2 linked regions of the Drosophila melanogaster genome follow. The protein of the gene in region 1 purifies or fractionates together with the protein of each later gene. This does not show direct contact. Each region holds a gene or a part of one and is shown on either strand. Other genes may lie near its edges.

Evidence for each region.
Region 2: the proteins of sinu (region 1) and wrm1 purify together in Drosophila melanogaster (affinity purification with western blotting, with the first as the bait; one study listed by BioGRID). This does not show direct contact.

What each region holds. Positions count from the first base shown.
Region 1 is NT_037436.4:5,558,878-5,563,639, reverse strand, and holds sinu (sinuous), read left to right. Parts: upstream 1-2,041; 5' UTR 2,042-2,144; coding exon 2,145-2,888; 3' UTR 2,889-2,894; intron 2,895-2,958; 3' UTR 2,959-4,170; downstream 4,171-4,762. Other genes in the region: ScsbetaG (Succinyl-coenzyme A synthetase beta subunit, GDP-forming), read left to right, coding at 97-147, 245-374, 456-555, 769-1,738.
Region 2 is NT_037436.4:7,332,731-7,336,912, reverse strand, and holds wrm1 (wurmchen 1), read left to right. Parts: upstream 1-1,686; 5' UTR 1,687-1,833; intron 1,834-2,014; 5' UTR 2,015-2,077; coding exon 2,078-2,371; intron 2,372-2,443; coding exon 2,444-2,638; 3' UTR 2,639-2,644; coding exon of another isoform or gene 2,645-2,818; 3' UTR 2,819-3,369; downstream 3,370-4,182. Other genes in the region: eco (establishment of cohesion), read left to right, coding at 1-975, 1,038-1,242; wrm2 (wurmchen 2), read left to right, coding at 2,645-2,818; mus312 (mutagen-sensitive 312), read right to left, coding at 3,620-4,182.

The sequences.
Region 1 (4,762 bases):
GGTTGTGTTTTTAAACTAAATTTACCGACAAAGTTACGAAAATAAATTAATACCAAGTTAGCCAAGGTATTCAGTTACCACCGCAGATCAGCCAAGATGTCGTTCCTACTGAAAGCAGTTACCACAGCCCGTCACATCGTTCATAAGGTTTCCTCGCACTCACATTCCTCTATAATATATCAACTCTTCGAAAAGAGAAGTTGAAGTGACCTTTGTCTTGGCTTTGTTTATCTTTCGATGATAGGTTCCCGTGCGCAACCTGAATCTGCTGGAGTTCCAGAGCAAGGATCTCCTCCAGAAGTATGGAGTGGCCATACAGCAATTCAAGGTCTTGAATAACTCCAAGGCAGATGCCGAGGTCGTCAAGACTTTTGGTAAGTGGAGGACGGAACCATGCCGGTGTTTATGTAATCCCTGGGCTAATTGGTGTTAAATGCTGTGCTTCTGTGTTTCAGAGTGCCCGGAATACGTGGTGAAGGCGCAGATTCTCGCCGGTGGGCGTGGCAAGGGAACTTTCGACAACGGATTCAAAGGCGGCGTCCATATCACCACCAAGTATTATAGATTAGGTCTATTCCGGCTATTCACATTCACATTTTATCTAAAAAATTAATATTATTTATGTTCTACAATATCATTTGTATATAAGATTAATCTTATCATTCTGCCCATATTGAAAATGATAAAAGTTTGTGAAAGCCAGAGTGTACCTTAAAAACACAAGTGATAAGACCAGCTTATACTAATAATTATTTAACATTTTGCCAGCAAGAGCGAGGTGCTTTCGCTTACCCAGCAGATGATTGGAAACCGACTGATAACGAAACAAACGCCCAAATCGGGAATTTTGGTCAACAAGGTCATGGTGGCACGCAGTATCAACATCACCCGCGAGACCTATCTCTGCATCTTGCTGGACCGCGAGCACAATGGACCCGTGCTGATTGCCTCACCTGCCGGTGGCATGGATATCGAGGCGGTGGCCGAGGAAACCCCTGAGAAAATTAAGACTGTTCCGCTAGACATTGGCAAGCCCATACCGGAGTCGACGCTCTTGGAGGTGGCCAAGTTCTTGGAGTTCAAGGGAGACTCTGTAAAGCGTTGTGCTGAGGAAATTCAAAAACTCTATACTCTCTTCAAAGCTGTGGATGCCGTACAGATCGAGATCAACCCGCTGGCGGAGACGGATAAGGGAGAAGTTATCTCCGTTGATGCTAAGCTCAACTTTGACGACAATGCCCAGTTCCGTCAGAAGGATATTTTCTCCATGGACGTCACCGAGGAGGAATCCGATCCCCGAGAAGTGGAGGCGGCCAAGTACAATCTGAACTACGTCGCCATGGATGGCAACATTGGCTGCTTGGTTAATGGTGCCGGCCTGGCCATGGCCACCATGGACATCATCAAGCTGAATGGAGGCGAGCCCGCCAACTTTTTGGACGTCGGCGGTGGCGTCAGGGAGGATCAGGTGGCCAAAGCCTTCGAGATCCTCACTGCTGACCCGAAAGTCAAGGGAATCCTGGTCAATGTCTTTGGCGGCATTGTCAATTGTGCCACCATTGCCAATGGCATTGTGGCTGCATCCAAAAAGCTGCAACTGAATGTTCCACTGGTTGTGCGACTGGAGGGCACCAATGTAAATCAGGCTCGCGAGATCCTGAAGAATTCGGGCCTGCCCATTCAGACAGCCAGTGACTTGGATGATGCCGCCCACAAGGCTGTGGCAGCCCTTAATTAGGGGAACGATTGAGGAGAGCATGTCTTCCAGAATGAAACGACGCTCATTAGCATTTACAACGGTTGGGCCTTTTAAGTATAAGTTTTTATCGACAATATAACCAAAATATGTTATATTCTATATAAAAAGCTTTTTATTTGATTTAAGAAGTACCTTAGCCATCTATCAAAAATTAATTAAATTTAAAATCATTTATTTCTTAATTTAAAAAATGTATAATCTAAATTGTTTAATTTACTGTTTTGAAATTTATTGGTACCGTAGCATTTGGTATTTATTTTGTGGCCCCATGGTATTCTGCGGTATTACCAGTGCGGCCACACTGCAGTCCACACCCAAACAGCAAACCAAACAAACATTTCCCCAGGAAACCAGCGAAATTCCAATAGAATTTCCCACTCAAAGGATGCAAAAACCATCCCACTTCGCACGCGAGGATTCCCAGGAGCACCTGCCCACCAGCCACACGCAAAACAGTCACACAGTGAACATGAAGAGACGCACACTATCCGGAAGTTGTGGCGTTGGCGTCTTCGTGTTCGCCTTTGCCTTCATCGTGATTGCGTTTGCAACGCCCAGTTGGTTGGTCAGTGATTACCGCATCACGGGCGCCAAGCTGGATCGCCTGGGATTGTGGGTGCACTGCTTCCGGTCGCTGCCGGACGTGAACGACGATAGCCAGCGGAGATTCTTCGTGGGCTGCCGTTGGGTGTATGACCCATTTACCACGGGTTACGATGAGATCCGTGGATTCCTGCTGCCCGCCTTCATGATAGCCACTCAGTTCTTCTACACTTTGGCCTTCATCGGGATGTTGGTATCTGCCATCGGAGTACTGGTCTTCATCCTGTGTGCTGGTCCGGATCAAAAGCACTTCATTACGCTCATTAAATCGTTGGGATATGTGCTTCTCGGTGCTGGAGTAAGTGCAGCCATTGCAGTGATTGTATTCGCTGGATTTGGCAACCGGAATGGCTGGATGCCGGAGCATGCGAACAATTGGTTTGGCTGGTCCTTTATCCTGGCGTGTGTGGGTACTGTGTTAACCCTGGTGGCGTCTACTTTGTTCCTCAGTGAAGCCCACGTGCAGCACAAGAAGAGAATTCAGTTCAAGGAATCTCAGACGCGATTTGAGCTGGTGCGCGGATAGTCGATGGTAAGTACTTGACTATATCCAAGTCAGGGTCGGTCGCTTAACCTTCTTGCATTGTCTATTTTAGCCGTGGCAGCTGGCACACTTGCACCAAGGAAAACACAAGCCAACCAAGAGGAAAACAAAACAAAAACATTCCGTCCCCTCAAAGAATTCTCACCCTAAACATTACAGTCGAACTTCTCTAAGGCGAAATATTCTAACTAACAGTTTCTGGTAGTGCACGTTTTTAAAGTTGGTTTATGTTCGTTTTATATTTTATTCAATGGTTTCCCTGTGCATAGGTTAAAGTATTCATGTCGGTAACATTCGTTTTATATTACCTTAAATCGTTTAAATAACTCCCCAACTGGCGGAGATTTCGAAAAATTTTAACGAACCAAAGTTATTTTGGATAAAAATAATTTTCGCCATATATTCATCGCTTCTCTCTAACATACCTAAAGAAATTAATTTTAGTTCAGAGAAGTTCGACTGTACTCGTAGTTTTTAATTTAAAAAGTTTATGCAATTGACGGCCGCACCGATTCACAAGCTTTCAGTTTTTGGTACTTATAATCATCCATCCAATCGACCAGATCAGTTCCAAGAGAAGACTGAATGTTTTTCCGAATGAAAACCAGAACCAAGCACAGCTAACATCAAACGAAGACGCTCAACTAGATGACTCATGTTCATGTAGAGTATTCTACAGTATTTGCATATCAATTTTCGCTCAATTAACGCCCAGACACAAAGAGCATACCCCTCCGCAATTGTACGTTTATTTTTTTCTTTAGCAAAAGTCGCAGGCTAGTCGGAACTAGCATCGAAATATTACACTCGTGCCTTAATTAGATAGAACTATTATGGTGTAGTTCGTAGTGCCTGAAAACAAATTATTGTTATAAACATACCTGAACGACTGACCTGCGACTAACCATAGAGATCATTGAATTGCATAAACTTCAGCTAAGCTAGTGCCTTAATTAAGTGACCCAGAGAAAGGTAAGCGAAACTCCGCCCATTAGTTTTAAGAACAAAACATTCCCTTTTGAACTCGAATATTCCGCACAAGTTACCTTCTTTTAAAGGTAACAATTAGGTCTGTATTAATCATCCGTCCTTTGCACGTATTTGTAACATTTTCTAAACCGAGAATTTAGCAATGTATTAAAGCAATACATACGTCTTTTACCGTCCCATATACAATAATATGTGTAACATTTTTATGTACAAACGACTTTTAGCTAAAGCGAAGAATAATAAAGTTTTTATTGTATACAACAGCTGAATGCATCTTTAGAGCGGGTTCAAGGCAGCTGGGCTCCAAAATGAGATCCGAAACAATGAATCTCCTCGCCAGTCAGCTTGGTGCATTCGACTTAGTTTTCCCATGGCGTTTGCATTTTGGGAAAACCGAACAAACTTTTCGTTGTCAGCTTTTGTTGCCGTTGAGGCAACTGGTCGGATATGCATCAGTTTGTTTGCAGTAACAACTGATATGCCAACCGATTGTGGGCTGCACCATGTGTCAACCCGGCGATTTCGAAGCTGCCTTTTTGTGTTGGGTTATTTGTTAATGATTGATGAAATAAGGTTATCTCAACGCATATCATTGGACTTTATAATGCGTTAAAATTGTAATTGTTCATCATATTTCGTTGTGACCTTTGATACCATAGTCTATTTAGAATAGCATATGAACATATAAGATTTTGATTGTATTGTATTCAACTTTATATCTTTGACAAGGCTACTTTCAAGTCTTAAGTTTTTCGAAATACTTGATTAATGGTGCATGGAGTAAAATATTTATCGTGCGAAGCTTCGGCCTTACGAACGTTCCAAAAACCCACAAAACTATTAGATCATTTTGTCAGCAATATCTG
Region 2 (4,182 bases), 1.8 Mb from region 1:
TGAGATTGTAGAAGCGAATCCGGTGGTACAGGCAACGCCCATTGATGCGGAGGAGACGACCATGGAAACGGAGTCGCTACCGGATATAATTGAGTATGCCCCAGAGGCGAACGATGTGGAAATTGATCCCTTTGCTGAGTTCCGTCAACGTTTGCCATACCAAACCGATGATCCCAATGTCGTGGAGCAACAGCAAATTTTACTAGAGTTTCTCATTAGCAACAATATTTGCACCGAAAAGAACTTTGAGATATTTATTGCAAATCCGGATGACTACAAGGACGAGGCCAATCAAATTGTGGACAATTTATACATGGTGGTGAACAGCGAGGAGGCTGCGCAGCTTGCTCAGATGGAAACAGTGGAAAATACAGCGGTGGCCATTGCACCAAAACAGGATGCGCCAGCAGTAGAGGAAGTTCAGCCAAAGCTTTTCCCCATATTCACTCAACGCTTACAGCCCGTTGTCCAGAAATCGTTGCGGCGTCGGCCGGATACATCGATGAGATTGCTAACGGCGGCGGGTGGATCGAATCAGTACCAGATCGATGCTGGTCAAAAGGCCTTCGGAGCACGGCAGTGCCAGCAGTGCGGATTGGTGTACACCGTGCACGAGCCGGAGGAGGAGCTGCTTCATCGCGAGTACCACAATTCCATCCATGTGCTGCGCTTCAAGGGCTGGATCGACGAGGACATTGTGTCCGTTTATCCAGAATGGGCCAGCGACGGGCGCATCATACGGATCAACGAACGCGCTCCGACAGCTCGGCTCGACAGACTGCGGGATCTCATTGGTGTGGTGGACAAAGAGCTGGGCTATTCCTCGTACATTGTGCCAAAGATCTTTGTAGCCTTCATAGCAGTGCGCAAGCAGCAGATCGTAGGCTTCTGCCTGGTGCAGCCCCTCTCGCAGGCCCATCGTTTCATCCAGGTCGATGGCACGGACTACTTCAGCGAGGAAAGCTACCCGGCCAGGTAAGACATCCCCTACTGCATGCCCCTTCCCTTGTCAACGGCTAAAATGTGCCTTCTTTCAGCTGCGGCGTCTCACGCATCTGGGTTTCTCCGCTGCAGCGACGCAGCGGGATCGCCAGCAAGCTGCTGCGAGTCGTCCAGTGCCACACGGTGCTCGGTCAAGAGATCGCTAGGGAGTGCATTGCCTTCAGTACGCCCACCGACGATGGTCGGGCTCTGGCACGCCAGTTCACCGGGTTGGATAACTTCCTCACCTACGACCAGTGATCGGGGAAATCTATTGAAGCTATTGAATAGCTGGATTGTTTTTGAGTTAGGATTGCTTCGAAACCTGTAATAGTTGATAAGCAAGTGCGATTATGTTACTAGCGGCACGAAGACGCGCAATTTAACATGTTTACAATGGTGGTTTAATATGCCTGTTTTTACGCAATGAACACGATATTTTCTTCGAGTCGCATTAATTTTGAAAATATAGATTAATATTGTTTATCTTACGTGTCGGGTTTTAAAACATGTAAATTTGGTGTTACAAAAATAGCACATACGTTAATTTTTAAATTGTATGTTTATAAACATTGTTTAATATATTTAAATTCTAACAAATAACTTAATGTCTAAATGTATGCAGTAAAAAATTTACACAACCTGCACTTGCGATCGATGAATGGTTATCGATCGCTTGCAACCATGCGGCGAGTCCACAAAGTGCCATCACTAGCACACTGAGCCTGGCTTTTGGGCGTTGTTTTCGTAGCAGCAAAGTGGCTGAAATTAATAACATTTAAGAGCAGAAGTGTGTAACACACCTGAATGGGACTTGTGCCAATCTCAGTGACCACCAATCGCGCGCAAATGGTAAGTGCAATCCGCATATAAGCTGCTAAGTGGGGAGCTGCTGGTGCTGCTAGTTAGTTTACTTTGGTGACGCCACGCCCAATGTGACAAATTGGAATCGGTGGCAATTGGTTTCGGGGTGCAAGTGGCATGCAGCGTGGTGGTTGAACCGCTTTCTCACTCTTCTTCCCCTGCCCTCCAGACCATTGAGCATTGTGCAGCAGGCTATTGAGGCTCTTGCAAGTGACCACACCCCTATAAGACTATGTCCACAATCGAAGAGGAACGCAAGGCGTACGAAAAGAATCCCTACTTCACCGGCCACATCTACGGCAACTTCTCGCCGTTTTATGTGACCATTGCCATCTGCACGGTTGTCCTGGGCACGATCATAATACTGAACATTATCTTGGGCTGCTGCTCCAAGCATCGCAAGTACTGGCAGGACAGGCACACGGGCAATCGCTGGTTGGTTTCCATTTGGTCTGCCACGCCCCACAATCAGCCGCCATTGGATTTCACTGAGCTGAAGGACGCCTCATACTTTCAGCGCTTCCATGTGAGTATTCGGTTTTTTGGCCAGAGCCCGAAAAATCGTGGCTTATTGTTTGGAAACTATTACTTTTTCTAGCCCACAACCCATCAGCAAGTGTTCCCCGACGACGTTGTCATCGGCGTTGACGACTTGGAGCCCGTGCACTCGGCGCACCATCATCATCACCAGCAGCAGCACCAGCGTCCACCACGTCCAGAGGGTCGCACTTTGCACCAGCAGCGCCAGCGCGAGGAATACGTGGAGTTGCAGAAGCGCGAGAGCGACATCTAAGTAGCAATGGCTCTTTACTTCCTTTATCCCGCCGTGGCCGCCGTCGCCCTGTTCATCGTGGGCGTTATCATTGTCATGCTGCGCTACGGACCGCGTTTGTGCGGTTTGCGCCACCATGCGCTTCCCGATGACGAGGATCTGCGGGGAAAGACGTATGAGCATGAGATTAGCTATGCCTAATATTGGGGTGTTCAGGGGTGTCCCATTAATCCCATTCAACCAATGGGTATTGTTGGTGATTTCTTGGACAGCCCTGCCTTTAATTTACATACTTATACATGCCGGCAATGCTACGAATTGCTTCTTATATATCTCTCTCCCCCCAAAACTAATCCTAGCTACTGTAAGAGCCCACTAACCCGTCTGCACCCACCAACCATATCAGTTTTGCATGCAGTACAAATAGTTTCATTAGCAACCAGTTTTGTTCGAGCCGATTCCATTCCATTAATCGCAATCTGACAATGTGCCTTTCACGTAGAGACTCGTAAGAAATTTATACCGTCCAAGTGTCTTTTCTAGCGCCGTAAGATCGAATTGTATTTTTACATTTAATACCCATTTAGGGTAGTCTGTCTACAGATGCTGCATTTAATGTTGTCCAATATTCTACTCGTATGAAAATATCAGTGTCTTGTATCTACTACAAACTCTATACATTTGTATTCGTCCATTAGTTTTGTAATATTGTATTTTGAAGTTGCATCAAATAAATCTACGGCCCCCAAAATAATATTGTGTTTTTTAATCGTAGATGCTAGTGGGTAGCTTGAAATGGCAAATAGGAATGGTTAACAATGCTTCAAACAAAAGTGTTGAATGTATTTGAGTTTTATCAATTTTACATACAATAAATTTAGATCGCAAAATACCAAGTAACAATATCTTATTCAATAATACAATATAAGGTAAATACTAGAAAATAATTCAATGCATTCAAAGTTAGGTATAAGTACAATGAAATTCCATAACTTGTAGAATCTACTTCCTTTTAGAAGGCTTTTTTGTGTGCCTTCGCACATGACGCTCTGCTTGCTTGCCGGGAGCACCCAGTTCATAGCGAAAGATAATGCAACGCCGGTCGAAGAAGGTCTTCAGGTCCTTTGGATCGTATCGATGCCCCATGTGCTTCAGGTGCAAGTAAACTGCCTGCAAATCAATGGGTTCGTACGTGAGTACACTTTCGTGCAGTTGGGGATTGGCGCAGATGAGATTGTGCCAGGCGATGTGCAGTGGCACCAGCGGCTGTGGTGTCTTCTTGGTAACGTTCGTTTGCATGACAAAGGTCTCGAAGTCATCGCAAAGACTCGGGGCAAGGGATTGGGAAAAGCGCAGCAATTCCTCGCCCGTGGCATCGTTAAATGTTAAATCCTTTTTTGTCCCAATTGCCTTCAATGTTTTAGAGGTTGACTTTGCTACTTGCGAATGTGGTCTCTCCATAATCACAGGAGTTGACTTGGAACGCACAATTGGCTCAGATCTGGCTGGTAAATCCTGAACAGCAGCTGTCTTCATTATGGGATGCGTTTGATTGTAGATGAATT